Lonchura striata: one gene and its partner. The protein of the gene in region 1 interacts with the protein of each later gene in a biochemical or structural test. Links are inferred from orthologs where the notes say so. Each region holds a gene or a part of one and is shown in the gene's direction. Other genes may lie near its edges. The genes, in order: MC4R and POMC.

Region 1 (15,960 bases):
GCATGTCCTAGCGTAAATGAAAGGTGGCTGACAAAAACAGATTTAGGATAATTATAACTAAGACAGAGAAGTATTTAATGAATTAGTAAAAGTTTTGCCATTGGTTTCAAAAGAGCTCCCACAGCTGAGGAATAACAAAAGGTTCATACATTTACAATGTATTTATTATAAACTGTCTTAGCAATATATTCAACAGAGGACAGTGCATTTCTAAAAATAATATCATTAAAAAGTTTCAGAGTATTAATTTGAGGATAAAATAAAAAATAAATGTTAACAGTATTTTTTTCTCTTTACATTTTTCAGAATAAGCTTCCAAGACCCTGAGAAGAACTTAGGGCACTGAACTGGTATTTCAGAAAAGGATATGATTAAAATGAAGTAATAGTTCTAAAAATTTCTAGAAAGTGTCTCAGCCTGATTGGGAAACTCAGGTAGAAATAGACAAAGTTATGATCCCTGCTGTGTGTGAAATAAGAGGAGAATGCACAACTCTTGCAGGAATGTAGCAAAGGGAGAGTAAGAAATGTTGATGTCTCTATCCAGCCATAAGGCACTAAGTCTGACCACCACTTTAAATTCATTTCAAAACAGCAAATGAATGGAATTCAGACATGAAAAGGTAAAGGGTATTTATTGTCTGAATTCCAAGAAGCAATCTGAACAATAACCCAGCCTGAAAATAAGAAACCTACTATACAAAAAATGAAGAGGAGAGACCCCTCAGGCTAGAAAGCATAAAATAAATGAATAAAAACCCCAGTCAAAATAGAATATTCACAAGAGTTGGTAGCATTATAAAAGCAGCAATTTTTTTTTCAAGAAACTTGTTCAAAAGTGTAGCTTGTTGATTGTATCTGCTATTGACCTCTGCAGGCTTGGCTTGGAAACTCTATGTAGGATAGAAAATGTCACATGATGCAGCCAATAAAAACTGCACAAAACTAAGCCTCTCATGAAGCTTGACCTTTCCTTTAAATGGCTTGTCTTTCAAAATTTTGATTGAAGGTGATCTCTAGTCCCAGAAAATGCTCTGAATTAATAAGAATAGTGAAAACTGCACCACATTTATTATCACCACATTGATTATTTTGTGAGACTGGGTGCATTATATGTTTGTCATTTAGGTCAAGATTATAGAAGCCAGAGAAAGATTACTTTTCCATGCAATACTCAGTCCACACTGAAACAACAACTGTTCTTTGAGGAATAGATTGTATTTTTCTTGGTGTTTATGACAGTGGGGTTTCATGTCATTTGATTCCATCAAATAAATATATCAAACACTTGAGATGAAATCCGGTGATTAAGAGGGATGGACTGCTAATTCTGCAGACAGCAACTAAAATCTTTAGAGATCACATAGCTTTAAACAAACTTTCATTCATGCCACTGATTTTTTAAATGCATTAGAAAGGTTTCAACTTGCTATTTTCATTAATTTTATGTCACTGTGCATGGAAAATTGTCTTTGGGGAGGTAGTGCAAGATGTAAAGAAGAGAATATATCTTTTATATGAGAATTCACCTGAAATAAAGCATAACTGGCCCTTAAATTGCTTGTTTGTTTAATACAAAGTACTTAAGCACTGTCATCCAGCAAGCAGTGAGAGCACATTGCGGTATCTGATAGTTAAAAGAGACCTGTAATGCTTCATCCTTGAATCTCTTTTCTATCATGTAAATTAATTGAAATGCAATTATATGTTTCCCATGACTCTGAGACAGAAAACTACTTTCTTCTGTCTCAGAGTGATTTTAATCACTTTAATGCAGAAAATCACTTGCTTGAATTTTAGTGACCTTGCTAACTATCATTTGTGTAGATTTTATACCCGGAGAGGTAGGAAAAAGGGGGATAAACCTCACAAATAGCTTGTTATACTTCATTGCAGAAAATCCTTTTCATACTGATAGCTCACCATATAGTGAGATGCTTATAAGAGCTATTAAAAAAAATAAATCTTTTGGGACTTAGCAGTGTTTACACTTCCCAAGAGATGAAAGTCGCACATATATCTACACTCACGAAACTTGATGGGGAAGGTTGTGCTCTTTCCTTCAACAGCTTCTCAGCTGAAGTTAGGTCTGATTCTCTTCTCTGTCTGCTTTTCATTGCTTCTCAGAACCTTTCTGGGTTTCACAGGGGATCTCAGCTGCTCTACCAGCTATAAGAATGTCACCTTATAATCAGAAGTAAACATTGGTACTCCATTTTGCTGGAGAGTTGTCATATGGCTCTGTTTAAAGCAGTGTTGCAACCTTCTCATTCTTTATACTTCTGGCCATGATGTGGCTTAACTGAATTAGTCTGTCACTAAGCATGTGATAAATCATATAGATTTAGTAGCACAAATAAGCTAGTTCAGTCCTCCGTTCTACTATTCTGTCTCAACAAGCATTTTTCAAAATTATAAGGAAAACCTCCTAAAAGGCAGAGAAAAAGGATGCTTGTTTGATGTCTTTCAAAGAAGCTCATAATTTCCTTTATTAAAGTAAGGAAGATGAAACAGAATTTTTTAGGAAAACACACAATATGATTTAATTGTACTTTGTGTATCTGAGTTTGAAGACAGAAAAAGACACTGTAGTGTCTGTTCCTAAAATAACTTGCTAAAGAAGTTTTATTTAATATTATCAGCAATAATTGCTGGAAATTGTTGCCTTTCTCAGAAAGAAATCTGAATCAGTCAGTTCTTCCCAGGATGTAGCTATCTGCCATGTAAATTTTGAGTAAGCTAATTCAAGCTTCCCAGGGTGATGAAAAAACCTTTTGCTTGCTTGGCCATTATTTACACATTTCTTAATTTTTCTGTGATTTTCTTTATGTGATTAATTTTTTAACATTTTCAGGGCTTTTTTCTGTTTAATTTTTTTTTCAGTTATCTGCAGGAATTCACAGTACCCTAAGGTGCTGCATGCTGGCATATTGATATATATATATATATATATATGTTCAGGCTAACAGTCCTTGGAGGGATTTTACCTTTATTTTCTGCTTTCCTTTACTGGAAAGGAAATGTAACATGCATTTAAATTGGCTTTGTTTCCCTTGCATCCCATGTTTACAATTCTCTACCTCATTCTTGCAGACGTGAGGAGGAAATCTCATCTCTGTTGCTCCCACAGTGCCACAGTAAGAGTCACTCTGGAGTAGGGGACTAACTGAATAAATATGCCCAAAAACCATTTGACATCTCAGTTTACACAACTGCAGAGATTCCCTTCCTCACTGAAAAATTTTACATATGGCATGTGAGGATCCTTTGGTACTTTGTTTTCCCCTGTTTAACTCTCAAAGGTTTCAAACAACACTCTAGTCTCTCAATTAAACAGTTAGCTTCAACAAAATCTCTTTACTGTACAAAGAGAGATAAAATATTACTAATACATTAAAGAATTTCAGTCCAGCTTGAGAACTCTGGAGCTTTTCTTGGTCACCTTTAAAAGGGGATATACCTTCACCCACAGTTCTGTAGACCGCTTCTGAGCCCTTATCAATCTTTAACTCATTTTTGGGATTTAGACTACCAGTAGTCCCATCTTGTCTGTTGAAGCAAAAGCATCTCCGAGTCCAGGTTGATTTCTCAACCATCAGGGTGATTCAAGTATTAATCTTCTACCATGGCTACTTTCTCTCCCTTCTGTTCTTTTTTCAAACAACCGTAGAGTGTGGAGTTTGGAACAACGTAAAGACACGAGCTACTCAATTTATTACACTGCTCTTATATATACTTTCAACCTTTCATTTTCATGAGAGTCTGTTATGGCAGAAAGTCATCAGCCTCTGTCACAGAAAGCCATAAAATCTGTATGCCATGAGCAGAGAAGAAAATTATTTATAAGGCATATATTTTTCCCCTAAAAAGCGAAGAAAGGAGACTCCTCCTGAGGTTATGAAAAATAACCCTTCAGTGAGGGCTAGAAGTTCTCAGCAATGACCCAGATCAATTCTGCTATTCAAAAACAGGAATTGGTTCATGCCCCTGAATTTTAGAAGAAGACTTTTCTACAAGAGTTTTGAAAATAAAATATTTCTGCTTTCCATTGGGTCAGCTTCATTATCAATATAATCTTGTAACTCAGACTTTTTTAAAGTACCAGAGATCTTCAAAGGAGGAACAGCAGTTTTCACAAGATGAAAGGGGGTTTTTTCTCACCATATGCTGATGATTGCTGTAAAGAGGTTATTGGGAAATCAAATCACTGCAGACATTCTGCAACACTTCAAAAGTCTAGACATTTTGTACTTTCCCCTTCTGTGTCCAGTTCTCAGAGAAAACAATGACAATTTTGGATTGTGTGTCAGTGACAATACACTTACCTGAGGGAATTACTCTCAGGGTTGTCCTTTCATCTAGTCTTAATCCTGACACTGCTGCTGCCTGACTCACTCATTGTCACATCACTTGGTGTGTCTGCTTTATATCTTATGTCAGATTATGACTCTGGGATTTCTAGTTGCTTAATGGAACTCCTATGGAGGAAAACAATTCACAAGTAGTTTAAGCACTTCCTGCAGACTCTGTCCAAGACTGCTTCAATATCTCTACTAAGAAACAGAGTGCTTAGAGGAGCTACCAAAATGAATGGAAACCCTAAAAATCCACTGTGCAGATATAAATATGTATATATATGCAAGGTTTTGTGCAGAACATTCAGTGAGGGTTAAAATAAGCTGGTTTTTGGTAACAGAATGTATGTGTGTATGTATGTAAGCCCTTTCAGACATAAACTATGCATCTTGAACAGTGCCTACTTAAGTACACAACTCTTCCTTCCTGTAAAGCCACTAAAGAAATGATTACATGGTATTGTCTGGCATTTCCATTGGAGTAACAACAATCACACTCAGAGGTGAGTAGATTGAAAGAAAGACTCAAGCCAGTTAGTAGCTTTCCATCTCACATAACTTTTGGTTACACTGCCATTCAGAGAACTTTTCTGAGAAACTGAAGTCATTGACATCATACAAAACAGCTGGGTTTTTTTTTCCCACAGCATAATCCTGGGCTTTCTTTAGATGATGATCTTCCAGTTTTTCTGCTGTGGCTCTCTATTTCTTATTCAACTATAATGAGACATGCCATTTTTCATGGTTAGACAGCGGGACTGACTAGGTTGTTTTTCAGCTAGAATGAAATGTTACAGCATTTCTCACACAGATAAAAACTGAGTATCATTATGGTAGAAAAGTCACAATGATAAACTAGAAAAGTGAAGATATTTTTAAACTTCGTCATATAAAATTATCTCATGATCTAAAGTGAGACAAAGAATGGTAGTGCTGAAAATGGCCCTGTCAGGTGCATATAGGAAGTGGAGAAGAGTATTAGCAGTATTACTTCCACTATATGTATGTTCAAAGGTCATGAAGAAAGGAAATGACCAGATTAACAGCTTATTTTTAAAAATCATAAATAATTTAAATAGTTGCTTATTTATATATATATATATAAATCAGTGTTATTGTTTTTTGGTTTGATGAGCTGGATTGATGGAAATATTTATTTTGTACTTAAACCCAGATGCTGCTGTATGTTTTTTTGAGAGATTTTTAGAGAGGGATAGTAACACCGAGGAGATTGTGGAGTCCCTTGGACTAAGTACTTCAGATGAGTCTGAACAGCAAGCACCTAAATCTACAAGCAAGGAAAAGAAAATTGATTATTTGTGAAAGATGGGATGAGGGAGAAAAAACTACAGGGATGTCATTGCTGCATTGACTGCAACTTAATAGTATCCATTATCACAATGCTGGTCACCTAAAATAGCAATGAGATCAGATGTAAACAGGTTAGTGTTTAAAGCCTCTGTGCTTCTCATGCCATTTTAATGGAAAGCATTCAATTTCTATTCATTTTCAAGTAATCACAAATGTATCATAAGGCAGAAAAATCAACATTTATGTGCTTTTAGTCTCCAGACTGATTAAGTGTTTCTCCTTTTCTTTTAACTAAAAGACATGAGGAAAAGAGGCAAGCTACAAAGACTCCTGCTCTCGACACCGAAGTCCCTTGATTTAAAAATTCCTTTCACTTTAAAAGATAAATATTATGAGGTAATCATAATAAAATGCCAGGTGAAAAGATATTAGACCAGTTTCCCACTGACCAACATTTTTTATTTGCATATAGTCCCAAAATACAGTGATCAAAATCCTGAACACTGGGAAGCAATGGAGAATATTTGGGGTTTTTTTTAATTATTCCATTCCTAACAGGGATATTAATAGAGACTGCATCACCTAGAGATTTTCAGATTGTAGTAAGCTGGTGGGTAAATGGTGGACAGACTAAAGAACAGAGATTTGATGTTGTGAGACCAGAAAAAAACTACTGGTCCAAAAATGTGAGCAAACAAGCGTACCCATATTGTTCAGAGGCTAATTTACTGAACTAGAAAGAATCAAAGAAATGCTTCTTCCAAAGACATCTGTGGATAGGAGGTAGAAGTACACTGCATTATTTTCATAATTTTGGTGAGTATCTTGAGTGCTAGGTGGAATTTGCCACTGCTACATAGAGAGATGATGCACACTAAAATCTCATAGAAACTTCCAAAGTTTAATTACCTGGCTCTTTTTCTTTTTTTTTTTAATTTCAAAATCAGCATGCTAAAATATACTGCAGTTTTTACTACAATTATAGACTTGAGTTTTTGAATGCACAGAAAAACTGGATCTGAGGACATGTAATCAAAGTCCTCCATGAACTATGCTTGTTCATGTAAATGCAGCATCACCCTTTGGACAGTACCAGCATAGTCACACAAAGCCAAGGGACTAATTAAATGTTAATAATCTGTTTCTTTGGTTACCCCTTCTACCCAGCTTCCCACAACCACTCTTACAGATGCTGAGGTGCTAAATATTATCACTGTGCTTGAGTAATGTGGCCATGGGATTCAACGGGATCTCACACATTGTGCATTTGAGTAGGAAAGGGCCTGGGTGGACTCCCTCTGTTTTTCTTTTTCTCCCACAGTGGACATGTACAGCCTGCTCATGTCTCTGCCTGTCTTCTTGTATCACTTTTGGGACTGCTCATTGATTTCAGTGAATGCTTTGTTCTGATTTTCAAATTCAACTGCCAGAAGATAATTAATCTTTCGAAAATATTGTGAGGTGGAGATGGCTGTAACCCTGTCTGGAAAGAGGGTGTCAAAGCGTATCTCCAAACAGAGCATAGAACATGGGGGAGTTATATTAAAAGGGGAGGCTCTGCTCAAATCTTTGTTGATGGCTTATTTCTCTTAAGAGCTGGAGCTTATATTAGTATATCACTGTAATCAGTTTCTAGTTTTCTGCAACCATGGTTGGTATTCCAAGGTGCTGAGAAGCTTGCAGGCCATTACTATCGAAAAAATATTGTCACAGCATTAGTTTTTAAAATTTAAGAAATAATTTAGGCAATATCTGTTAGACAATATTCCTTTCATCTTTGAAATAGATAATTGAAATATTAACATGTCTTCAGTCATGAGGGAGCTAGGATACTTTGAACAATTTTAGCATTATGTGGTTTATTTCTTATTAAATGGGAGCCTGAGACATGCATCCATCTTTTTCCATGGAAGAAATTAGATGCACATACATCTTCTCTCATTTTAAAGAAGTGCTCATATAATTTGTTTTGCCTTTTAGTTAGATCAGGCTGATGATGCATCATCTCTTCAGTGCTTCGACTAAGTTGCTAAGCTACCTTAAGTCTGCTGCTTATAAAACCTCATTCCACAAATATGAGTGGAAAGCACCAAAACAATTGGGCCCCAAGAATACAAAGCATAAGCAGAAATTTGGAGGGGAGTGATGATTGTGGGTGGGGAGAAAAGTAGGCTTTTCTTTCCATTTTTATAATCAATATTACATTTTTATGACACATTCAGTGAAAAATCAGACAAGGAATCACCTGGATAGCTTCTGGGTGGAGAGAGCAAATGAAAACATATATAGTGATAAGATTGGAGATAATGTGCAGAGAAAATGAGGAACCAGGAGGGGAATAGACTGACAGATAATTGGAACAAGTGGGGCAGTACTCCTTGGAGGAAGCTTCTCTCTATTCTTGACAGGCTAACCTGATCTAAGTCCACCTAAGTAGGTGAAGAGAGAGATCCCTGAATTGTGGGCATTTCCAGCATGGAGAATATTGTGAAAGAAGGGATGTTGAGTGGCTACTCTCCTGGGATAACTTGAAGATTACACATTTCTAGATTCAAGTGTAGAAAAGAAGGTTATGAGGAGATGCTGTTCTCCCACATCAGTCTTTATATATATTTTTTATAGTTCTTTTCTTTAATGGTTAGGTGTGCATTAGCTGTCTGTATCAGGAATTAGTGAATACCGTATCACTAACAGTGATACTGCCTGAGGATCAGTAACTAAATAAAAAATCCTCTTGAGTTCTTGCTTGCATTATGTCTTGACAGTAAAGCAAATGTCACATTTTCAGGAGCAAACTATTTAATTTCAAGCATTCTGCTCATAAATTATGTAATCCAAACTGATAAATGTGGGATTTCCTGTGCCACAAGTTATTTTGTTGGTCATGGTACTTTATGTTTCAGCTTTATGAAGCAACCTAGCTGAAGAAGGGGCCAGAAAAAAATTGATTGAGGCTTTTCTTCCAATATAGGTCTTCATAACCATAGGTCTGCAGCAATACAAACGTGAAAGTAAAATCACACTTCAACCTGATGTTGAGATGTTAAATACAGATAGTTGTGCTTCTACATGCATTCTGTCATCCTGTACCTCTTTATTAGGTGGTTCACTTTTCAACCAGCTAACACACTGAAGATGAAAATATTTTGAGACATTATAGAAAATAGACTTTTGCATTAGGTGCAGACTCCTCCAAAACCTGACTGGTAGTCAACTGGAAATGCTCTTTCAAACAATTCAATCGCAAATATTACTCTCAGATATGGTGACAGAAATTCCTATGGCATTTAAAATCCATTTGTGTTTTAGGCTTTGCTTAGCATATTTCTTTTTCAAACCTCAGTTGCAATGCTTGAAGATGTAACAGCAAAACAACTTTTGTCCTGTCTCTTCATGTTACTTTGGCATTCTTTTCTTCTTTATTCTCAAGGGTTTTTCCTAACACACTGCACACAAGCAGACTTTCAGCTCATGCCCAGTAAGTCCAGGGATATCCCTGTGCTTCTAGGGCTCCTGGGCCATGTGGACTTCTAGGAGATTTATTGATGCTTTTGTGTCATTGCCACTGTATGAGCTCTATTTCTTACAGGTTCCAACTTTGTCTCCTGCAGATTTCCTTCAACTGTTCTAAATACTGAGATTTCTTTTTCTGCCCAATATCTTAATTCTTGATGATGACAGGGCTTCTGCAATCAACTCCATTATCTTTTTCTTCTCAATAAGATTACTAAGAAGTCTATTACCTGGAAAAAATGACTTTATTTAGGACAGTTTATTATGTCATTTGTGACTTTGAGTCATGGTGGTTTTGGTCTTTATCTTGCCTCCATACATTAAAAATGATAATAATCTTATTAGAGAGTATAATGCAACCTTGCCACACATCTTGGAAATGGACAGCTAAGGCATAGAAAAATAGCAAGGCAAATGGGACCAAGGAGAGAGAACCATGAGGAAATATATATTATTTTTCTTCCCTTTCCTGTTCATATTTTGCTGCACATACAAAGCAGAACAAGTTTGTGCCACAGAAGGAGCAAGAACAAATCTGAATCTGAAAAATAAAATTTATCACTTTAGCTGAAAGACTTCTGTAAGATTGCTAGTACAGTTCTGAAAGTTTTGCTAATTGAAAATCAGTACTGAAATATTATTCTGTGAAGCTAAAGAAGAGAAGCAAATCTCTGGTAGCTTGTCTGCTTTCCTGTAGCTACTGGTAACTCGTGCTGCATCTGAACCCGCTGTGCCGTGCCGTGTGATGTTTCACAGAGGCTCAGAATCAGCAGCCCCTCCACTTTCTGCAGTCCTGAGTCCCATTGGCTGGAAAGAAAAGCAGAGGCGGAGAGTGCCCTGAATATTTTTCTCTTCCACACACGGTGAAACAGGCAGCCAGCATGCACTGCCTGACAGTGAGAGTGGTGCTTACAGTTTGACAATAGTTCCTGCTCCGCAGCAGTCATTTGGGCATTTTATGGTCGCATCTCTTTAATGGAAAGCACCAAAAAAGCCTTGCAGCATTCCAGTGAACTAAAGAGGAACTAACCATGGGAGAATCTGATTAAAACATAGAGACTGTTGGGACTCTGTGACATAGATCACCAAGGTAAATGCAATGACTATTCAGAAACTCTGTCTGTAAGGGTGTAAACCAGTTCTTCTGAGTCTGAAATCTTATTTTTTCACAGTAGTCGAAGTGTTCTGAACTGCTGCCTGCCTCGGTCCTAGCTTCTTTTTTTCTTTTCCAAGCTGAAAAGCCAAAGAAGGTTTTCAAAGGAATGCAAAAGGAACAGAAGTTTTAAAAGCGGGAAGCCGAAAGACATCTCCATAAGATGAATTTCACCCAGCATCGTGGGACACTCCAGCCTCTCCATTTCTGGAACCACAGCTACAGACTGCACGGAGGAGCTAGTGAACGCACTGTGAAGGGCCACTCCTCAGGAGGCTGCTATGAGCAACTTTTTGTGTCCCCTGAAGTGTTTGTGACTCTGGGCATCATCAGCTTGCTGGAGAACATCTTGGTCATTGTGGCGATAGCCAAGAACAAGAACCTCCATTCTCCCATGTACTTCTTCATCTGTAGCTTGGCAGTGGCTGACATGCTAGTGAGTGTATCTAATGGATCAGAAACCATTGTCATCACCCTGCTAAACAACACAGACACAGATGCACAGAGCTTTACCATAAACATTGATAATGTCATCGACTCAGTCATTTGCAGTTCCTTGCTTGCATCAATTTGCAGTCTTCTCTCAATAGCAGTGGACAGGTACTTTACTATCTTTTATGCCCTCCAGTACCATAATATCATGACAGTGAAGCGTGTAGGGGTTATCATCACATGCATCTGGGCTGCTTGCACAGTCTCAGGCATTTTGTTCATCATTTACTCTGACAGCAGTGTTGTCATCATCTGCCTAATCAGCATGTTCTTCACTATGCTCATTCTCATGGCATCCCTCTATGTCCACATGTTTATGATGGCTCGTATGCACATAAAAAAGATTGCTGTTCTTCCAGGGACTGGCCCTGTTCGTCAAGGGGCCAACATGAAAGGGGCCATCACTCTCACTATCCTGATTGGAGTTTTTGTTGTGTGCTGGGCTCCATTTTTCCTACACCTGATTTTCTACATCTCCTGCCCCTACAACCCTTACTGTGTGTGCTTCATGTCCCACTTTAATTTCTACCTCATCCTCATCATGTGCAATTCCATCATTGATCCACTTATCTATGCATTCCGTAGTCAGGAGCTTAGGAAAACATTCAAGGAGATTATATGCTGTTGTAGCCTGAGAGGGTTTTGTGATTTCCCTGGCAAATACTAAACTGAATGGATGGATAAGTTACTGTGTACACAACTGGCAGCATAGATTTCCTAGCCTTCGGATCTTCTTTCTCAGCAGAATTTGGTTTAAATCTTTAAGAGTGACCATCTGTTTCTGTGTTCCCCCCCCCACCCCCCCACCCCCCCCGCCGATTCTTGTGTTCCATTCATGTGGAATTCATATTTCTGTATAATATTCATGATGTCTATAGTTTGTAATTTATTTGGCTGGAAAGATCAGTAGCACTTCATACCAGTTTGTAAATAAGCAAATAAATGTAATGATGAATATAAAATAGCAACAAACATGAGCAGCTATATATTCCAACTGCTGACAAAATAAATATCTTGCCTGACTTATAGTACATACTGGCTAATACTGTTTCTTATTCTGTTGAAGTAATTATAGCTATCCACTACATTATACTCAGTTAATAATAGAGCATGTGCTTCTACATTAGTAGATTAAAGGTTCTCTGGAATTAGAAAGCAGATTTTTCAGAAAGGCTAGTGAAAGCAACAAGTTCTATTTATACATTTTGAACTCTTCTTGTTTTGCTTCACAGCAGAAATTCTACTTTTTCTTTCTTACTTTCCCTGCCCACAAGAAGAATTTTCAAACACTTGCTACACAGCCAGTTGAATGCTTGGGCTTTGGGCTGGGTTTTTTTCCAAGATGATTGCTGTATGTCTGAGAGTACCTTTTTGCAAAATTTAAATTGCTCCCTGGAGCATCAAATAGTCCTGGATATATCTACTAGACTGGCATCCAGGCAGACTAGCTCCCTCCATTCGGCCATGAAACAGGTACAATATTAACTTTGACAGTGCCAGCAGCAGTGCAAATATTCACTGAGAGATTTACCTGGTGAAATAGAGAGGGAAGTTCAATTGGAACATTCAGTCATTTTTCTGAGGTGCTGTGGAGAATAAGGACTCTGTGCTCCAGATGGAAATGCATCCTTGTTGAAAACAAACTGCCCTCTGTTGTGAAGTGCAATGGTAGCAGATGGGATCCACTGCCAGGATCTTTACACAGGAGTCAAGGCAAGTGTTAATTTGGTCTGGGCACCTCAGCCCATACTGTGGAACATATGGGCTTTGGAGGGGCAGTGCTGTCACATGGAATGAGTGCCTGCTGATGAGTCTGGTTACACACGCTCAGCATCTGGCAGCTGCTTGAATTCAATTCACCTTTGCAGGCATCTACTTGATGTGTTCTCAGTTTCACCCTAAAATTCCATGCTCTTCACAGGTTGTTTTAAGGACCTCGGGTTCCTGGTATTAGTCCTTTTGGAGGTGTTTAAAGCATAAATGTGACTACACAAGATTCCGTGAAGATGTAATTTAGTATCTTGATATTTTGATGATATCAGCTTCTATATAAGGAGAAAAAAGAGTAATTTATCTATTTCCAGAAAGTATAAAACACAGTGAAACTTGTAGAGGATCTGGAGAGTTCTGATTTAAGAGCTCAAAATTAAAAGTAAAAAACAACTCAGGTTTTAATGCTGAATGCTTGCTTTTTGCCAAGATGAACAGTGAATGAATGAAATACGGGATGGCCAATCCTATTTATTTTCTTGTAAACAGATTGTTCTCTTCAGCTGCTATTTTTTTCATCAAATTAAAACATAAAATGAAAAGCTATTCAAAGAGAGCAATGATTGCTATCTCAGATTCTCCAGACAGAAGCTGATATTTCATCGTGGATAACTTTTCAGGATATCGCAGAACTACAACATTTGCCCCTCTGTTAAAGTGCATGAAAGACTTAGGGTGAGTCTTAGTGTTTTTAACTTTAACTATTTATAGGAAGAGCAAGAAAATCATTTGCCTTTGTGCATTGAAGTCCCTTGGTAGACCAACAGCACCAACATCAGGTCTCCTACAACCTACTCTTGTGCTTGGGCCAATCCATGGACCTTGCTGCTTGCAACACCACTATTGATATTTCTCAGCTTTAACAAATGATATTTCCACATCAGTCGTAGTGTGAAGGGTATTGAATTATATCTACTACATTAATTCTACTATTTTATTCTGGAAGAAACTGTAAATATTTCAATAATACCTGGTTCCACTCGATATAGAATAAAAAATGCCAAAGGAGGAGAATTAAAGCCCAAGCAGAGAAAGAAAAAATGCATTTAAATTAATATTCTATCCAAAAATCCAGTGAGCTTTGCTAAAGGCCTTTCCTTCTCCCACAAGACACAATACAAAAATACTCTGGTTGTAATGAAAGAAAATATGGATGCCAGTTTAAACAAGGCATAAATCCTACTTGATCTTTGCTTTGCCTCATTTTCTATAGCTGTTTTAGGACTGTAAATTATGACACTGGGGGCTTCAGCTTTTCCTTTTGTAGTCCATAGCTGCAGAGAGGGCCCCAATGAAAGTGACCAAAGAGCAAAATACTACCTTAGGTGCTCTGAACATTACCTTGAAAGTCTCTATTTCTCCCCTTCATATGTACAAGGAGCAGATACTTCTGAATTCTGAAGAGGCTGTATTTAAAAAAAACCCAGTGTGTATCTCTTTTATGCTTATTTGGACTATGACTAGTCAAGACAGTTGTGACACCATTAGGCTCTAAATTTCATTTATAAATATAATTTTTAAACTATCTTATTCCAGAGCTTTAGCAGCTCTGAGACTGTTTAGCAGCACTTCTGTCTTTATTTCATAACAGTATATGTACATAGATATTTTTAAATGGAGTTTCTAATTAAAGATGATTTTTTCATTTCATGGTATCATTTTGGAGAGTGCAATTCATTGAAATTGTTGGCACATCTGCTACATAGATTATTTTCCTATTCCAAAATAGTCTGTTTCTTCTGAGTAGCTGAATCAGTTTGCCAGAACCATAGGAATTATTCTTGCAAAAGATAAATTAATTAATCTAGTTTATTGGAGATTGGGAGGAGTGGAGGATTATTTTCCACAGTCAATTTTCTGGAGCTTTGTTCTTCTATTTGAAAATACTCCAGGAAAATGTGATTTCTTTATTTAAATTACTAGGACTGTAATTGCTTTAGCACTTAGCATTTTGGTCATGTTAGGTAACTGTAGTGGGCTGACCCTGGCTGGATGCCAGGCACCCACCAAAACTGCTCTCTCATTCTCCTCTGCAGCTGGACAGGGGAGAAAAAATATAATTAAGGATTCATGAGTTAAGAACCAGGAGAGATCACTCATGAATGATCTGTTCATGAACAAAACAGACTCAAATTAGAGATATTAATTGAATTTGTTACAATCAAAGTCAGAGCAGGATAATGACAAGTAAAATATAACCTTAAAAACTTCTTCCCTCCACCCCTCCCTTTCTCACTCCCTCCCAGCTCTACCTCCTCCTCCCAGTGCCACAGGGAGACAGGGAATGGGGTTTATGGTAAGTTCATCACACATTGTTCCTTCCACTTCTCAAGGAGAGGAGTCCTTCCCCTGCTGCACTGTGGGGTCCCTCCCACAGGAGGCAGCTCTCCATGAACTTCTCCAATGTGAGTCCGTCCCACGGGCAACAGTTCTTCACAAACTGCTCCAGCGTGGGTCACTATTCCACAGGGAGAAGTCCTTCAGGCACATCCTGCTCCAGCATGGGTCCCCCAAGGGACCACAAGTGCTACCAAGAGACCTGCTCCAGTGTGGGCTCCTCTCCACAGATCTGCAGGTCCCAGCAGGAGCCTGCTCCAGCATGGGTTTCCCACAGGTTCAGAGCCCTCTTTTGGGCATCCCCCTGCTCTGGTGTGGGTCTCTCCCATGGGCTGCAGGTGGATCTTTGCACTCCCATGGACCTCCATGGGCTGTAAGGAAATCTGAGATCCAGTGCCTGGAGCACCTCCTGCTCCTCCTTCTCCACTGACCTTGGTGTTTGCAGAGCTGTTCATCACACATGTTCTCACTTCTGTCTTCTCTGGCCACAATTAGATCCGACAGTAACTTTTCTTCTTCTTGAATATGTTATCTCAGAGGAGTTGCCATCATTTTTAACTAGCTCAGCCTTGGACAGCAGCAGATCTGTCCTGGAGGCAGCTGGCATTGGCTCTGCCAGACCTGGAAGAAGTTTCTGGCAGCTTCTACAGAAGCAGTTTATGCAAACCCAATACAGCAGCAATGGCATGTTCTTCTGCAGCAAGCCTTTTCCTGAGCTAGACATTGATGGTAGTGTTCTCCACATTTTCCTAACAACTTAAATTTTACACAAAAAGTTTTTGAAGGAAATGTCTATCTTCTTCAAGAAGGACTTTTCTTTAGCTTCGAAGCAGTTTTAGAACAAAGCAAAAGACTTCGAAAAGCACTTAGAGGATGTAGTTAGTCTCAGTACAGCAGATTTTGAATGATGACCCAAAATGTCTTTTACATCTGAAATATGATATTATCTGGAAGCAAGGATAAATGCTTTAATAGAGTCACATTATTAAAAATGCAGCAATGCCTTCAGTTATGCCTTTAAGAGATGTGT
Region 2 (16,241 bases), on another chromosome or scaffold:
TTTTTTCCTTGTTATTTTTCCCCTATTTTTGGGTTATTTTTCCCCTTTTCCCATTTTTTTGTTCTTTTCCCATTTCCCCTCCCGGGGGATTTGTGGGATTTGAGCCGGGCCGAGATTTTCACACCTAAAGGTCGCCAATGACGCAGGAGCCACTCAAAAATCTCGTTTTTTTTCTTTATTTTCCCCTATTTTTCCCTTTTCCCTGATTATTCCCATTTTTTCCATTTATTCCAAATTTTTTCCCATTTTTTTCCAGTTTTCCCCCCCATTTTATTCCCATTTTTATCCCATTTAATTCCCATTTTTCCCCTATTTATTCCCATTTTTTTCCCACTTTTCCTGATTCTTTCCCCATTTTTTCCCATTTATTCCCATTTTCCCTGATTTCCCCCCATTTATTCCCATTTATTCCCATGTTTCCCAATTTCCCTCATTTTTTCCCCATTTCCCTATTTATTCCAATTTTTTCCCCATTTTTCCCCATTCCCTTTTTTTCCCTATTTATTCCCATTTATTTCCCATTTTTCCTGGTTTTCCCCCTCATTTATTCCCATTTTTCCTGATTCTTTCCCCATTTATTCCCATTTATTCCCATTTTTCCATTTTCCCCTTTTCAATGGAAGATCAGAAATGACGCAGGAGTGACACAAAAATCTGATTTTTTTTCTTTATTTTCCCCTATTTTTCCCTTTTCCCTGATTATTCCCATTTTTCCCATTTATTCCAAATTTTTCCCATTTTTTCCCAGTTTTTCCCCCCATTTTATTCCCATTTTTACTATTTTTCCCTCATTTATTCACGTTTTTACTGATTCTTTCCCCATTTTTCCCATTTATTCCCATTTTGTCCTGTTTTTCCCCATTTATTTCCATTTTCTCCCCATTTCACTCTATTTATTTCCATTTTTTTCTCATTTATTCCCATTTTATTCCCATTTCCCCCCCATTTATTTCAATTTTTCCCATTTCTCCCCATTTCCCCCCATTTTTTTCTCATTTCTCCCATTTTATTTCCATTTTTCCCCCATTTTATTCCCATTTATTTCCATTTTCCCTCATTTATTTCCCAATTATTCCTATTTTGTCCCATTTTCTCCCTCTTTTCCCCATTTCTCTCATTTTTCCTCTTTTTTTTTCCCAATTTATTCCCATTTTCTCCTCGTTTCCCCCCATTTTTTCCCCTTTATTTCCATTCCCCCATTTATTCTCATTTTTCTCCCATTTCCCTCTTTTATTTCCAGTTTATTCCCAGTTTATTCCCATTTTTTCCCCATTTTCTCCCATTTTTTCCCCATTTTATCCCCATTTTTTCCCATTCTTCCCCATTTCCCCCATTTTCCTTTTTTTTTCCATTTTTCTTCCATTTTCCATTTTCCCCCATTTTATTTTCATTTTTCCCATTTTTCCCCATCTTTTCCCATTTTCAGCTCATTTTCCCCCAATTATTCCCATTTCACCCCCATTTCCCCCATTTTTTCCTTTCTTTGAATTTTCCCCATTTTATCCCATTTTTTCCCATTTTATTTTCATTTTCCCCCATTTTCCCCATTTTTTCCCCATTTTCCCCCTATTTCACCCATTTTATTTTCATTTTTTCCATTTATTCACATTTTCTCCCATTTTATTTTCATTTTTTCCCATTCCCCCCCCATTTCCCCCATTTTTACCCATTTCCCCCATTTTTTCCTCAATTTTTCCCATTATATTTTCATTTTTCCCATTTTCCCCCTTTTTTTCCAATTTTATTTTCATTTTCCCCCCTATTTCCCCTTTTTTTCCTTTTTTCCCATTTCCCCCATTTCCCCCCCTTTTTCCCATTTTATTTTCCTTTTTCCCCATTTTCCTCCATTTTCCCCCTTTTTTTGCCATTTTATTTTCATTTCCCCCATTTTTCCCCTTTTCTCCATTTTATTTTCATTTTCCCACATTTTTCCCATTTTATTTTCATTTTTTCCCATTTCCCCCCCTATTTCCCCCATTTTTACCCATTTTCCCCATTTTTTCCTCAATTTTTCCCATTATATTTTCATTTTTCCCCATTTCCCCCCCTTTTTTCTTATTTTATTTTCCTTTCCCCCCCCTATTTCCCCATTTATTTCCCTTTTCCCCCCCTTTTTTCCCATTTTATTTTCATTTTTCCCCATTTCCCCCATTTCCCTCATTTTATTTTCATTTTTTCCCATTTTCCCCCCATTTATTCCCATTTTCCCCCCCATTTTCCCCATTTTTTCCCATTTTATTTTCATTTTTCCCATTTCCCCATTTTCCCCCCTTTTTCCCATTTTATTTTCCTTTTCCCCCATTTCCCCATTTTTCCCCTTTTTTTTTGCCATTTTAGTTTCATTTTTCCCCATTTATTCACATTTTCTCCCATTTTATTTTCATTTTCTCCCATTTTCCCCCCATTTTTTCCCATTTTCCCCCCATTTTCCCCATTTTTTCCCATTTTCCCATTTCATTTTCATTTTTCCCCATTTCCCTCATTTTATTTTCATTTTTTTCCCATTTATTCACATTTTCTCCCCTTTTATTTTCATTTTTCCCCATTTCCCCCCATTTATTCCATCCCCCTATTTCCCCCATTTTCCCCCCTTTTTTGCCATTTTATTTTCATTTTTCCCCATTTTCCCCCATTTTCCCCCTTTTTCCCCGTTTTATTTTCATTTCCCCCCTTTTTTCCATTTTATTTTCATTTTTCCCCATTTTCCCCATTTTATTTTCATTTCCCCCCATGTTCCCCCTTTTTTCCCATTTCATTTTCATTTTTCCCCATTTCCCTCATTTTATTTTCATTTTTTTCCCATTTATTCACATTTTCTCCCATTTTATTTTCATGCTCCCCCTTTTTTCCCATTTTATTTTCAGTTTTCCCCATTTCCCCCATTTATTCCCATTCCCCCCATTTCCCCCATTTTCCCCCTTTTTTTGCCATTTTATTTTCATTTTTCCCCATTTTCCCCTTTTTTTCCATTTTATTTTCATTTTCCCCCCTTTTTTCCCATTTTATTTTCATTTTCCCCCATTTTCCCCCAATTTATTTCCATTTCCCCCATTTTCCCCCATTTTCCCCCTTTTTTCCCATTTTATTTTCATTTTTCCCCATTTCCCCCCATTTATTCCATCCCCCTATTTCCCCCATTTTTCCCTTTTTTTTGCATTTTCCCCTAAAATTCCCCAGTTTTATTTCCATTTTCCCATGTTTTGCCCCCTTTTTTTGCCATTTTATTTTCATTTTTCCGCATTTTCCCCTAGAATTCCCCAGTTTTATTTTCATTTTCCCCCATTTTTCCCCTTTTTTTGCCATTTTATTTCCATTTTCCCCATTTTCCCCATGAATTCCCGGTTTTATTCCCATTTTCCCGTATTTTCCCCGCGCCCTTTCTCCCCTCCCCGCTAATCCCGGGGTTGTTTTTTTTTGCTCCTTTGTCGATGTTTTTTTCCCGGTTTTTTTCCCGGTTTTTTCCCGTTTTTCCCGTTTTTTTCCCGTTTTTTTCGGGCCGGCCCCGCCCCCGCCCCGCGGATAAAGCGCGGCCGGAGCGGCGGCGGCGGCGCGAGAGCGGCGGCAGGTAGGACAGCGCCCCATTAATTAGCCCCGATTAATTAGCCCCGATTAGCCCCGATTAGCCCCAATTAGCCCCAATTAGCCCCGAATTATCCCCAAAATATTCCCAAAACCGCCCCAATTAGCCCCAATTAGCCCCAAATTAGCCCCAATTAGCCCCAAAATATTCCCAATTAGCCCCAATTAGCCCCAAATTAGCCCCAATTAGCCCCAATTAGCCCCAATTAGCCCCAATTAATTAGCCCCAATTAGCCCCAATTAGCCCCAATTAGCCCCAATTAGCCCCAAAATATTCCCAATTAGCCCCAATTAGCCCCGATTAGCCCCAATTAGCCCCAATTAGCCCCAAATTAGCCCCAATTAGCCCAAATTAGCCCAAATTAGCCCCAAATTAGCCCCAATTAGCCCCAATTAGCCCCAATTAGCCCAAATTAGCCCCAATTAGCCCCGATTAGCCCCAATTAGCCCCCAATTAGCCCCCAATTAGCCCCAATTAGCCCCAATTAGCCCCAATTAGCCCCGATTAGCCCCGATTAGCCCCCAAATTAGCCCCGAATTAGCCCCAATTAGCCCCAATTAATTAGCCCCAAATTAGCCCCAAATTAGCCCCAAATTAGCCCAAATTAGCCCCAAATTAGCCCCAATTATCCCCAATTAGCCCCAATTAGCCCCAATTAGCCCCAATTAGCCCCAATTAGCCCCGATTAGCCCCGATTAGCCCCAATTAGCCCCGATTAGCCCCGATTAGCCCCGATTAGCCCCAATTAATTAGCCCCAATTAGCCCCAAATTAGCCCCAATTAGCCCAAATTAGCCCCCAATTAGTCCCAATTAGCCCCAATTAGCCCCAATTAGCCCCAATTAGCCCCCAATTAGCCCCACTTAGCCCCAATTAGCCCCGATTAGCCCCAAATTAGCCCCAATTAGCCCCAATTAGCCCCCAATTAGCCCCAATTAGCCCCCAATTAGCCCCAAATTAGCCCCAATTAGCCCCCAATTAGCCCCAAATTAGCCCCAATTAGCCCCAATTAGCCCCGATTAGCCCCAATTAGCCCCAAATTAGCCCCAATTAGCCCCAGTTAGCCCCAATTAATTAGCCCCAAATTAGCCCCAAATTAGCCCAAATTAGCCCCAATTAGCCCCAATTAGCCCCAATTAGCCCCAATTAGCCCCAAAATATTCCCAAAACCGCCCCAATTAGCCCCAATTAGCCCCAATTATCCGCGAAATTGCCCCAATTAGCCCCAAATTAGCCCCAATTAGCCCCAATTAGCCCCGATTAGCCCCAATTAATTAGCCCCAATTAGCCCCAATTAGCCCCAATTAGCCCCGATTATCCCCGAAATTGCCCAAATTAGCCCCAATTAGCCCCAATTAGCCCCGATTATCCCCGAAATTGCCCAAATTAGCCCCAAATTAGCCCCAATTAGCCCCAAATTAGCCCCAATTAGCCCCAAATTAGCCCAAATTAGCCCCAATTAGCCCCAATTAGCCCCGAATTAGCCCCAATTAGCCCCAATTAGCCCCGATTAGCCCCAATTAGCCCCAATTAGCCCCAATTAGCCCCAATTAGCCCAAATTAGCCCCAATTAGCCCCAATTAGCCCCGAATTAGCCCCAATTAGCCCCAATTAGCCCCGATTAGCCCCAATTAGCCCCAAATTAGCCCCAATTAGCCCCAATTAGCCCAAATTAGCCCCCAATTAGCCCCAAATTAGCCCCAATTAGCCCCAATTAGCCCCAATTAGTCCCAATTAGTCCCAATTAGCCCCGATTAGCCCCAATTAGCCCCAATTAGCCCCAATTAGTCCCAATTAGCCCCAATTAGCCCCAATTAGCCCCAATTAGCCCCGATTAGCCCCAAATTAGCCCAAATTATCCCCAAATTAGGCCCAATTAGCCCCAATTAATTAGCCCCAATTAGCCCCGATTAACCCCAATTAGCCCCAATTAGCCCCGATTAGCCCCAATTAGCCCCGAAATTGCCCCAATTAGCCCCAAATTAGCCCCAATTAGCCCCAATTAGCCCCAATTAGTCCCAATTAGTCCCAATTAGCCCCAAATTATTCCCAAATTAGCCCCAAAATATTCCCAAAACCGCCCCAATTAGCCCCAATTAGCCCCGATTAGCCCCAATTAGCCCCAATTAGCCCCCAATTAGCCCCCAATTAGCCCCAATTAGCCCAAATTAGCCCCCAATTAGCCCAATTAGCCCCAATTAGCCCCAATTAGCCCCAATTAATTAGCCCCAATTACCCCGATTAGCCCCAATTAGCCCCAATTAGCCCCAATTAGCCCCAATTAATTAGCCCCAATTAGCCCCAAATTAGCCCCGATTAGCCCCGATTAGCCCCAATTAGCCCCAATTAGCCCCAATTAGCCCCAATTTAGCCCCAATTAGCCCCAATTAGCCCCAATTAGCCCCAATTAGCCCCCAATTAGCCCCCAATTAGCCCCAATTAGCCCCAAAATATTCCCAAAACCGCCCCAATTAGCCCCAAATTATCCCCAAAATATTCCCAAAATTGACCCAAAATAGCCCCGAATTGCCCCGAAATTAGCCCCAAATTATCCTCAAATATCCCCAAAATAGCCCCAAATTACCCCCAAAATATCCTCGAATTAACCCCAAAATATCCCCAAAATATCCCTGAATTAGCCCCAAAATATTCCTGAAATATTCCCAAAATAACCCCAAAATAGCCCCAAACTGGCCCGAAAATATTCCTGAAATATTCCCGAATTACCCCGGAATTAACCCAAAAATATCCCCAAATTATCCCCAAAATAATAGTCCCAAAATATCCCTGAAATAGCCCCAAAATAATCCCAAAATAGCCCCAAAATATTCCTGAAATATTCCCGAATTACCCCGGAATTAACCCAAAAAATCCCCGAATTATCCCCAAAATAATAGCCCCAAATTATCCCCAAAATATCCCCAAAATAGCACCAAAATATCCCCAAAATATTCCCAAAATATCCCCAAAATATCCCCAAAATTTCCCCAAAATATTCCCAAAATAACTCCAAAATAGCCCTGAATTATCCCCAAAATTATCCCCAAAATTATCCCCAAAATATCTTTTTAAAAATCCCCCCAAAAATTTAAAAATCCCCGAAATTTCCCCAAAATATCTTTCAAAAATCCCCCCAAAACCGCCCCCCCCCAAAATTCCCAAAATATCCCCAAAATTCCTTTAAAAACACTTTTTAAAAAAAAATCCCAAAAATCTCTAAAAAATCCTAAAAAATTTCCCCAAAATTTCCAAAAATCCCGGAAAAAAATCCCGGAAAAAAAACCCAAAAATATCCTTGGAAAATCCAAAAAAATCCCAAAAAAATCCTTTAAAAATCCTTGTAAAGAGCCCAAAAAATTTCCAAAAAAATCCTTAAAAATCCCCAAAAATCGATTTAAAAACCAAAATAAATCCTAAAAATTTGGGGGGATTTTTTGGGGGATTTTTTGGGGATTTTGGGGATTTTTGGGGGATTTTTGGGGGATTTTTTTTGGATCTTGGGGAGGATTTTGGGGGGATTTTTTTGGGGGATTTTTGGGTATTTTTGGGGGGATTCTTGGTGGGAATTTTTTGCCATTTTTGGGGAATTTTTGGGGAATTTTGGGGATTTGTTCGGGATTTTTGGGGGGATTTTTTGGGATTTTTTTAATTTTCTGGGGATTTTGGGGGATTTTTTGGGGGATTTTTTGGGGGATTTTTTGGGATTTTTCGGGATTCTTGGTGGGATTTTTGGGGATTCTTGGGGGGAATTTTTTACCATTTTTGGGGAATTTTTGGGGGATTTTTTGGGGGGATTTTTGGGGGATTTTTGGGGGGATTTTTGGGGGGATTTGGGGGGATTTTTGTGGGGGATTTTTTGGGACTTTTTGGGATTTTTTGGGGATTTTTTGGGGGATTTTTGGGGATTCTTGGGGGGATTTTTGGGGATTCTTGGTGGGAATTTTTTACCATTTTTGGGGAATTTTTGGGGATTTTTGGGGGAATTTTTTGGTATTTTTTTATTTTCTGTGGATTTCGGGGGTTTTTCAGGGGATTTTTTGGGATTTTTCGGGATTCTTGGTGGGATTTTTTTACCATTTTTGGGGAATTTTTTGGGATTTTTTTTATTTTTCTGTGGATTTGGGGGATTTTTCAGGGGATTTTTTGGGATTTTTTGGGGGATTTTTTGGGATTTTTCGGGATTCTTGGTGGGATTTTTTTACCATTTTTGGGGAATTTTTGGGGGATTTTTGGGGAATATTTGGGGGATTTTTTTGGGGATCTTGGGGGATTTTTTGGGGGATTTTGGGGGATTTTTGTGGGGATATTTCGGGGAGTTATTTTGGGAATTTTTGGGGAATATTTTGGAGATTTTTGGGGGGATTTTTTGGGATTTTTTTATTTTAGGGGGATTTTTGGGGAATTTTTCGGATTTTTTGAGTGATTTTTGGGGAATTTTTGGCGATTTTTTGAGGGGATTTTTCTGGGAGGTTTTGGGGGATTTTGGTGGGGATTTTATTTTTAATTTTGGGGGATTTTTGGGACCGTTTTGGGGATTTTTGGGGGGGATTTTTGGTTTTTAAAGGAATTTTTGGGGGGATTTTCCAGAGGGAAACTGAGGCACGGAGCTCCCAAAAGATTCCCAGAATTTTTTCGGGATTTTTTCCCCAGTCCTTCCCAAAAAAATCCCCAAAAATCCTTAAAAAAAAATCCCGAAAATCCCTTAAAAATCCTTTAAAAATCCCCCCTAAAAAAATGAAAATTCTCTAAAATATCCCCAAAATTATTTTTAAAAATTCCAAAATATCCTCCAAAAAATCCCAAAAACGAAAAAAAAATCCTCAAAAAATCATTTTAAAAAATCCAATAAAATCCCTGAAAAATTCCCTAAGAAATCCCAAAAAAACCCCAAAAAATCCTTTAAAAATCACCCAAAAAATCACAAAAAAAAAAACAACTCAAAAATTCCCAAAAAAATCCCGAAAAAAATCCTGAAAAAAATCCCAAGAAAATCCCCAAAAATTTCCATAAAATCTGGAAAAATCACCCAAGAAATCCTAAAAAAAAAATCTTAAAAAAAACCCTAAAAAATCCCCAAAACCCCCCAAAAATTCCATAAAACCCCTCAAAAATCCCTAGAAAAATCCCCAAAATCCTTTTAAAAATCCCCCCCAAAAAAAATCCTCAAAACCCCCCAAAAATTCCTTAAAAACCACCAAAAATTCCCAAAACAATCCCCAAAACATCCTCCAAAAAATCCCAAAGAATAAAAAAAAAAAAACGATAAAAAACCCCAAAAAATTCTTGAAAAAAATCCCCAAAAAAATCCCCAAAAATCACCAAAAAATTCCAATAAATCCCCAAAAATTTCCCTGAGAAATCCCAAAAAAAAAAACCCTGAAAAAATTCCCAAGAAATCCTCAAATAATCCTTAAAAAAATCAGAAAAAAATCCTTAAAAAATCCAAAGAATCCCCAAAAAAATCCCCAAAAAATTCAGTTTTTTTCCCAAAAATTCCCAAAAAATTCCCCAAAAATTCCCCAAAAATTCCCAAAAAATGCCCGAATTCCCGTTTTTCCGCAGGTTTCCGGGATTTCGGGATGGGCCCGCGGCTTCTGCTGCCGCTGCTGGGGCTGCTGCTGGCGCCGGGCGGCGCCGTCCCGGTAACTTCGGCATTCCCGGGAATTCCCACGCGGGGCGGGAGGCGTTTCGGGGTGAAGGGGGAATCCCAAAAAATCGGGGGGGGTTGGGATGAAATCCCAAAAAATCGGGGGGGGGTTGGGGTCCAATTCCCAAAAATCGAAGGGGTTGGGGATGAAATCCCAAAAAATCGGGGGGATTTGGGGTCAAATTCCCAAAAATTGGAGGGGTTTGGGGTCAAATTCCAAAAAATTTGGAGGGATTTGGAGAATGAAATCCCAAAAAATCGGAGGGGTTTGGGGAATGAATTCCCAAAAAATTGGAGGGATTGGGGATGAAATCCCAAAAAATCGGGGGGATTTGGGTCCAATTCCCAAAAATCGGAGGGATTGGGGAATGAAATCCCAAAAATCGGAGGGGTTTGGGATTAAATCCCAAAAAAATTGAGGGGTTTGGGGAATGAATTCCCAAAAAATTGGAGGGGTTTGTGATGAAATCCCAAAAACTGGAGGGATTGGGGAATGAATTCCCAAAAAATTGGAGGGATTTGGGGTCAAATTCCCAAAAAAAATGGAGAGATTTGGGATGAAATCCCAAAATATTGGAGGGACTGGGGAATGAAATCCCAAAAATTGGAGGGATTGGGATGAAATCCCAAAAAATTGGAGGGGTTTGGGGTCCAATTCCCAAAAATCTGAGGGGTTTGGGTCAAATTCCCAAAAAAATGGAGGGATTGGGGAATGAATTCCCAAAAAATTTGGAGGGGTTTGGGGTGAAATTCCAAAAAATTGGAGGGATTTGGGGTCCAATTCCCAAAAATCGGAGGGATTGGGGAATGAATTCCCAAAAAATTGGAGGGATTGGGGAATGAAATCCCAAAAAATTGGACGGATTGGGATGAAATCCCAAAAAATTGGAGGGATTGGGGAATTAAATCCCAAAAAATTGGAGGGATTGGGGAATTAAATCCCAAAAATCTGAGGGGTTTGGGGTCCAATTCCCAAAAAAACTGGAGGGATTGGGGAGTGAAATCCCAAAAAATTTGGAGATGGATTTGGGATGAAATCCCAAAAAAACTGGAGGAATTTGGGGTCAAATTCCCAAAAAAATTGGAGGAATTTGGGGTCAAATTCCCAAAAAAAAAGAAGGGAAAATTTGGGAATCAAATCCCAGAAAATCCAAAAATTTGGGAATCAAACACAAAAAAATCTGGAAAATGGGGAACTTGGGAATTTCCCTGGAAGTTTTTCAGGATCTCATCCCAAAATTCCCAAAAAATGGAAGAATTTGGGAATCAAATTCATAAAATACCAAAAAATGAAGGAATTTGAGAACGAAATCGCAATAAATGGAGGGATTTGAGAATCAAATCCCAGAAAATCCGAAAATTTGGGAATCAAACACAAAAAATCCCCCAAAAATGGGGAATTTGGGAATTTTCCTGGAAATATTTTGGGATCTGATCCCAAAATTACTTAAAAATGGGAAAATTTGGGAATGAAATCCCCAAAAAATGGAGGGATTTGGGGTCAAATTCCCAAAAAATCAGAGTTGTTTGGGATCAAATCCCAAAAAAAAAAAAAAAAAAAAGGGGAAAATTTGGGAATCAAATCCCAGAAAATGATAAATTTTGGGAATCAAACACAAACAAATCTGAAAAATGGGGGAATTTGGGAATTTTCCCAGGGATTATTTTGGGATTAAATACTCAAATTCCTAAAAAATTGAGGGGTTTGAGATAAAATCCCAAAAAATGGGGAAATTTGGGAACGAAATCCCAAAACCAGGAAAATTTGGGAATCAAATCCCGAAACTTTGTGGGATTTGGGAATGAAATCCCAAAAAATAGGAAAATTTGGGAATCAAATCCCAAAAAACAGGGAAATTTGGGAACGAATTCCCACAAAATGTCGGGATTTGGGAATGAGATTCCAAAAATTTCCCAAAAAATGGGGGAATTTGGGAATGAAATCCCAAAAATTTGAGGGATTTGGGAACGAAACCCCACAAAACGTCAGGATTTGGGAATGAGATCCCAAAAACGGGGGAATTTGGGAACAAAATCCCAAAAAACGGGGAAATTTGGGAACGAATTCCCACAAAACGTCGGGATTTGGGAATGAGATCCCAAAAATGGGGAAATTTGGGAATCAAATCCCAAAAAATGGGGAAATTTGGGAACAAACCCCCCCAAAAACGTCGGGATTTGGGAGTGGGGATTTTCTGTTGGATTTTTTGGGTCTGAATCCCTAAAAAATCCCAAAAAAAACGTGGGAATTCCGTCCCACTATTCCCGTCATTTTTGCCATACCAGGCTTAAACCAAATTCCAAAAATGGGGAAATTTGGGAAGGAAATCCCAAAAACAGGAAAATTTGGGAATCAAATCCCGAAACTTTGTGGGATTTGGGAATGAAATCCCAAAAAATTGGAAAATTTGGGAACCAAATCCCAAAAAACGGGGAAATTTGGGAACGAACCCCCCCAAAAACGTCGGGATTTGGGAATGAGATCCCAAAAATTTCCCAAAAATGGGGGAATTTGGGAATGAAATCCCAAAAAACGGGGAAATTTGGGAACGAATTCCCACAAAACGTCGGGATTTGGGAATGAGATCCCAAAAATGGGGAAATTTGGGAATCAAATCCCAAAAAACGGGGAAATTTGGGAACAAACCTCCCCAAAAACGTCGGGATTTGGGAGTGGGGATTTTCTGTTGGATTTTTTGGGTCTGAATCCCTAAAAATCCCCCCAAAAAATTTGGGAATTCTGTCCTGCAATTCCCATCATTTTTGCCATTCCAGGCCTAAACCAAATCCAAAAAAAATGGGGAAATTTGGGAACAAAACCCCACAAAACGTCAGGATTTGGGAATGAGATCCCAAAAATTTCCCAGAAATGGGGAAATTTGGGAATGAAATCCCAAAAAACTGGAAAATTTGGGAATCAAATCCCAAAAAATGGGGAAATTTGGGAACGAAACCCCATAAAACGTCAGGATTTGGGAATGAGATCCCAAAAATTTCCCAAAAATGGGGGAATTTGGGAATGAAATCCCAAAAAATTGGAAAATTTGGGAATCAAATCCCAAAAAACAGGAAAATTTGGGAACGAAATCCCACAAAACGTCGGGATTTGGGAATGAGATCCCAAAAATTTCCCAAAAATGGGGGAATTTGGGAATGAAATCCCAAAAAACAGGGAAATTTGGGAACGAATTCCCACAAAACGTCGGGATTTGGGAATGAGATCCCAAAAACGGGGAAATTTGGGAATCAAATCCCAAAAAACGGGGAAATTTGGGAACGAACCCCCCCAAAAACGTCGGGATTTGGGAGTGGGGATTTTCTGTTGGATTTTTTGGGTCTGAATCCCTAAAAATCCCCCAAAAAAATTTGGGAATTCCGTCCCACAATTCCCGTCATTTTTGCCATTCCAGGCTTAAACCAAATTCCAAAAATGGGGAAATTTGGGAAGGAAATCCCAAAAACAGGAAAATTTGGGAATCAAATCCCGAAACTTTGTGGGATTTGGGAATGAAATCCCAAAAAATTGGAAAATTTGGGAACCAAATCCCAAAAAACGGGGAAATTTGGGAACGAACCCCCCAAAAACGTCGGGATTTGGGAGTGGGGATTTTCTGTTGGATTTTTTGGGTCTGAATCCCTAAAAATCCCCCCAAAAAATTTGGGAATTCTGTCCTGCAATTCCCATCATTTTTGCCATTCCAGGCTTAAACCAAATCTCAAAAATGGGGAAATTTGGGAATCAAATCCCGAAACTTTGTGGGATTTGGGAATGAAATCCCAAAAAATTGGAAAATTTGGGAATCAAATCCCAAAAAACGGGGAAATTTGGGAACGAAATCCCACAAAACATCAGGATTTGGGAATGAGATCCCAAAAATTTCCCAAAAACGGGGAAATTTGGGAACGAAATCCCAAAAAACGGGGAAATTTGGGAACGAACCCCCCCAAAAACATCGGGATTTGGGAGTGGGGATTTGCTGTTGGATTTTTTGGGTCTGAATCCCTAAAAAATCCCCAAAAAAACGTGGGAATTCCGTCCCGCCGTCGCCCTTGCAGGCCTGTCCCGGGATTTCCTCGGAGCCGCCGCTTTTTCCCGGGAAGGGCCAATCCCGGCCGCTCTCCGAGGGCCTCCGGCGCTTCCGCTGGAGCTGGCAGGACGCCTCGCATCCCGGGAAACGGGAGGAGCTGGCCGGGAAAACGGCGGGAATTGCCGGCTCTTCCCGCTTTTCCGACGAGGCCGAGGACGGGAAGCGCTCCTATTCCATGGAGCACTTCCGCTGGGGAAAACCCGTCGGGCGCAAGAGGAGACCCGTCAAGGTCTACCCCAACGGAGCCGAGGAGGAATCGGAGGAGAATTCCCGCCCGGAATTCCGCAGGGGAGAATCATCCGAGGAGGAGGAGGAAGAATTCCCGGAATTCCCGTGGGATTCCCGGAAGGAGAAGCGTTACGGCGGATTTATGAGCTCGGAGCGGATCCGGACGCCGTTGGTGACACTCTTCAAGAACGCCATCGGGAAGAGTTTCGCCAAGGATGGGCAGTGATGGGAAAAATCCCGGGAAAATCCCAGAAAAAAAATCCCGGGAAAATCCCACGGGGAAAAATTCCCGGAAAATCCGGGGAAATCCCCCGGGATTCGCGGCCCCCGTAGCGTCCCCTTAGCGCTTCATCCTTCCTAATAAAAAATCCCGGGATTCTCGGGCGGGAATTCCCGGGTTTGGGAGTTCTTGGAATTGGGGCGGATCCCGGTTGGGAATTCTTGGAAATATTGTAAAGGAGGGATGGAAAATTCCCAAAAAAAAAAAAAAAAAAAAGCTACGGATGAGAGCGCTGGGAAGGGGAAAAAACGGGAATTTGGGTCGGGAAAGGGTTGGAGGGTGAATTTTTGGGATGAGTTGGAATTCCCAGGTTGGGAATTCTGGGAAGTTTTCCACGGGAAAAACAAGGACGGGGTGCAGGGAATGGATTTCCATGGGAAAAGGGAGGAATTTTGGGAAGGAATTCCCAACATTTGGGGAAATTTGGGGTTGGAATTCCCTGAGAATCTCTGGGAATGGCCAAGGAAAAGTTGGGAAATTCCAGGATCGTGGGATTGGGATTGGGGTGGGATGGAAGATCCATGGATCCCAACAATGGAATTCCAGGATTCTGGAATTCATCCCGAGGGATTTTTATGGAATTTGGAGATGGAAAAGAGAATCCCGAATTCCCAGGGAATTCCCAAAATTCCTTCCCGGAGAGGAGCTGGGATGGGGATGGATCCAATCCCAGGCTGGGAATGGCGGGAATTCCCGGGGAAAAGAGGAAATGGAATTTGGGAAGGAATTCCCAACCTGGCGGGAATTCCTGAAGAATCCCTGGGAATTCTTGGAATTCCCCTGGGAAACCTTGGAATGGGATGGGATTTCAGATCCATGGATCCCATCCCAGCCATTCCAGGATCCCTCCAAATCCCCTTGGAAAAGCTCTGGAGCCCCTCCCGTTATCCCGGGAAAAAAACCAGGATGGGATTTGGGAATGGGGATTTGGAATTCCGCTGCTCCCGTCGGAGCCGATCCCAAATCCGGGAATGCTCCGAGCTCCAAAATTCCATGGGCACCAACCCCAATCCTGATCCCGATCCTGATCCGATTCCCAGTTCTGGTCGCGATCCCAATCCTGATCCTGATCCAGATCCTGGTCCCATTCCCAATTCTGATCCCGATCCCCAATCCCAATCCTGATCCGGATCCTGATCCGGATCCTGGTCCCAATCCTGATCCCGATCCCAATCCCAATCCCAATCCCAATCCCAATCCCAATCCCAATCCCGATCCTAATCCTGATCCCATTCCTGATCCTGATCCTGATCCTGATCCTGATCCTGATCCTGATCCTGATCCTGATCCCGATCCCGATCCCAATCCTGATCCCAATCCTGATTCTGATCATGATCCCGATCCCGATCCTGCTTCCAATCACGATCCTAATCCTGATCCTGATCCTGAATTATGATTTTGTTCCTGCTTCTGATCCCAACCCCAATCCTGATCCTGATCCAAATCCCCAATCCCAATCCCAATCCAGATACCGATCCCTAATCCCAATCCTGATCCCGATCCCGATCCCATTCCCGATTCTGACCCCGATCCCTAATCCCAATCCTGGTCCTAATCCTGACCCTGATCCTGATCTTGATCCTGATCTTGATCCTGACCCCGACCCTGATCCCGATCCCGATTCTGATCATGATCCCGATCCCGATCCCGATCCTGATCCCAATCCTGATCCAAATCCTGGTTCCAATCCTGATCCCCCCCCAATCCCGATCCCAATCCTAATCCTGATCCCAATCCTGATCCCATTCCTGATCCTGATTCTGATCCCAATCCCCAATCCCGATCCCAATCCTAATCCTGATCCAAACCCTGATCCAAATTCCCGATTCTAATCACGATCCCAATCCCTGGTTCCGATCCTGATCCTGATCCTGATCCCGATCCCAATTCTGATCCCGATCCCCAATCCCAATCCTGATCCTGACCCCGATCCTGATCCCGATCCCCAATCCCTGGTTCCGATCCTGACCCCGATCCTGACCCCGATCCTGATCCCGATCCCCAATCCCAATCCTGATCCTAATCCTGATCATGATCCCAATCCCAATCCCGATTCCGCTTCCCATCTTGATCCCAATCCTAATCCCAATCCTGATCCCGTGTATGATTCTGGTTCTGCTTCCGATCTCGATTCCCATCCAGATCCTGATCCCTGGTGCTGATCCAGATCCCTGATCCCATTCCCAATCCTGATCCCGATCCCCAATCCCAATCCTGGTTCCCATCCTGACCCAGACCCCGATCCTGATCCTGGTCCTGACCCTGATCCCGATCCCCGATCCTGATCCTGATCCCAATCCTGGTTCCAATCCTGATCCTGACCCCGATCCTGATCCCTGTGCTGATCCATATCCCCGATCCCAATCCCAATCCTGATCCCAATCCTGGTTCCCATCCTGACCCAGACCCCGATCCTGAT

The links.
Region 2: the proteins of MC4R (region 1) and POMC form a complex in vitro, tested with the Homo sapiens proteins (2 studies listed by BioGRID). The link is inferred for Lonchura striata from reciprocal best matches to the Homo sapiens genes MC4R and POMC.

The regions. Positions count from the first base shown.
Region 1 is NC_134603.1:97,658,246-97,674,205, reverse strand, and holds MC4R (melanocortin receptor 4), read left to right. Parts: upstream 1-10,041; 5' UTR 10,042-10,268; intron 10,269-10,350; 5' UTR 10,351-10,494; coding exon 10,495-11,490; 3' UTR 11,491-11,626; downstream 11,627-15,960.
Region 2 is NC_134605.1:112,533,157-112,549,397, reverse strand, and holds POMC (pro-opiomelanocortin), read left to right. Parts: upstream 1-9,158; coding exon 9,159-9,221; intron 9,222-13,282; coding exon 13,283-13,768; 3' UTR 13,769-14,046; downstream 14,047-16,241.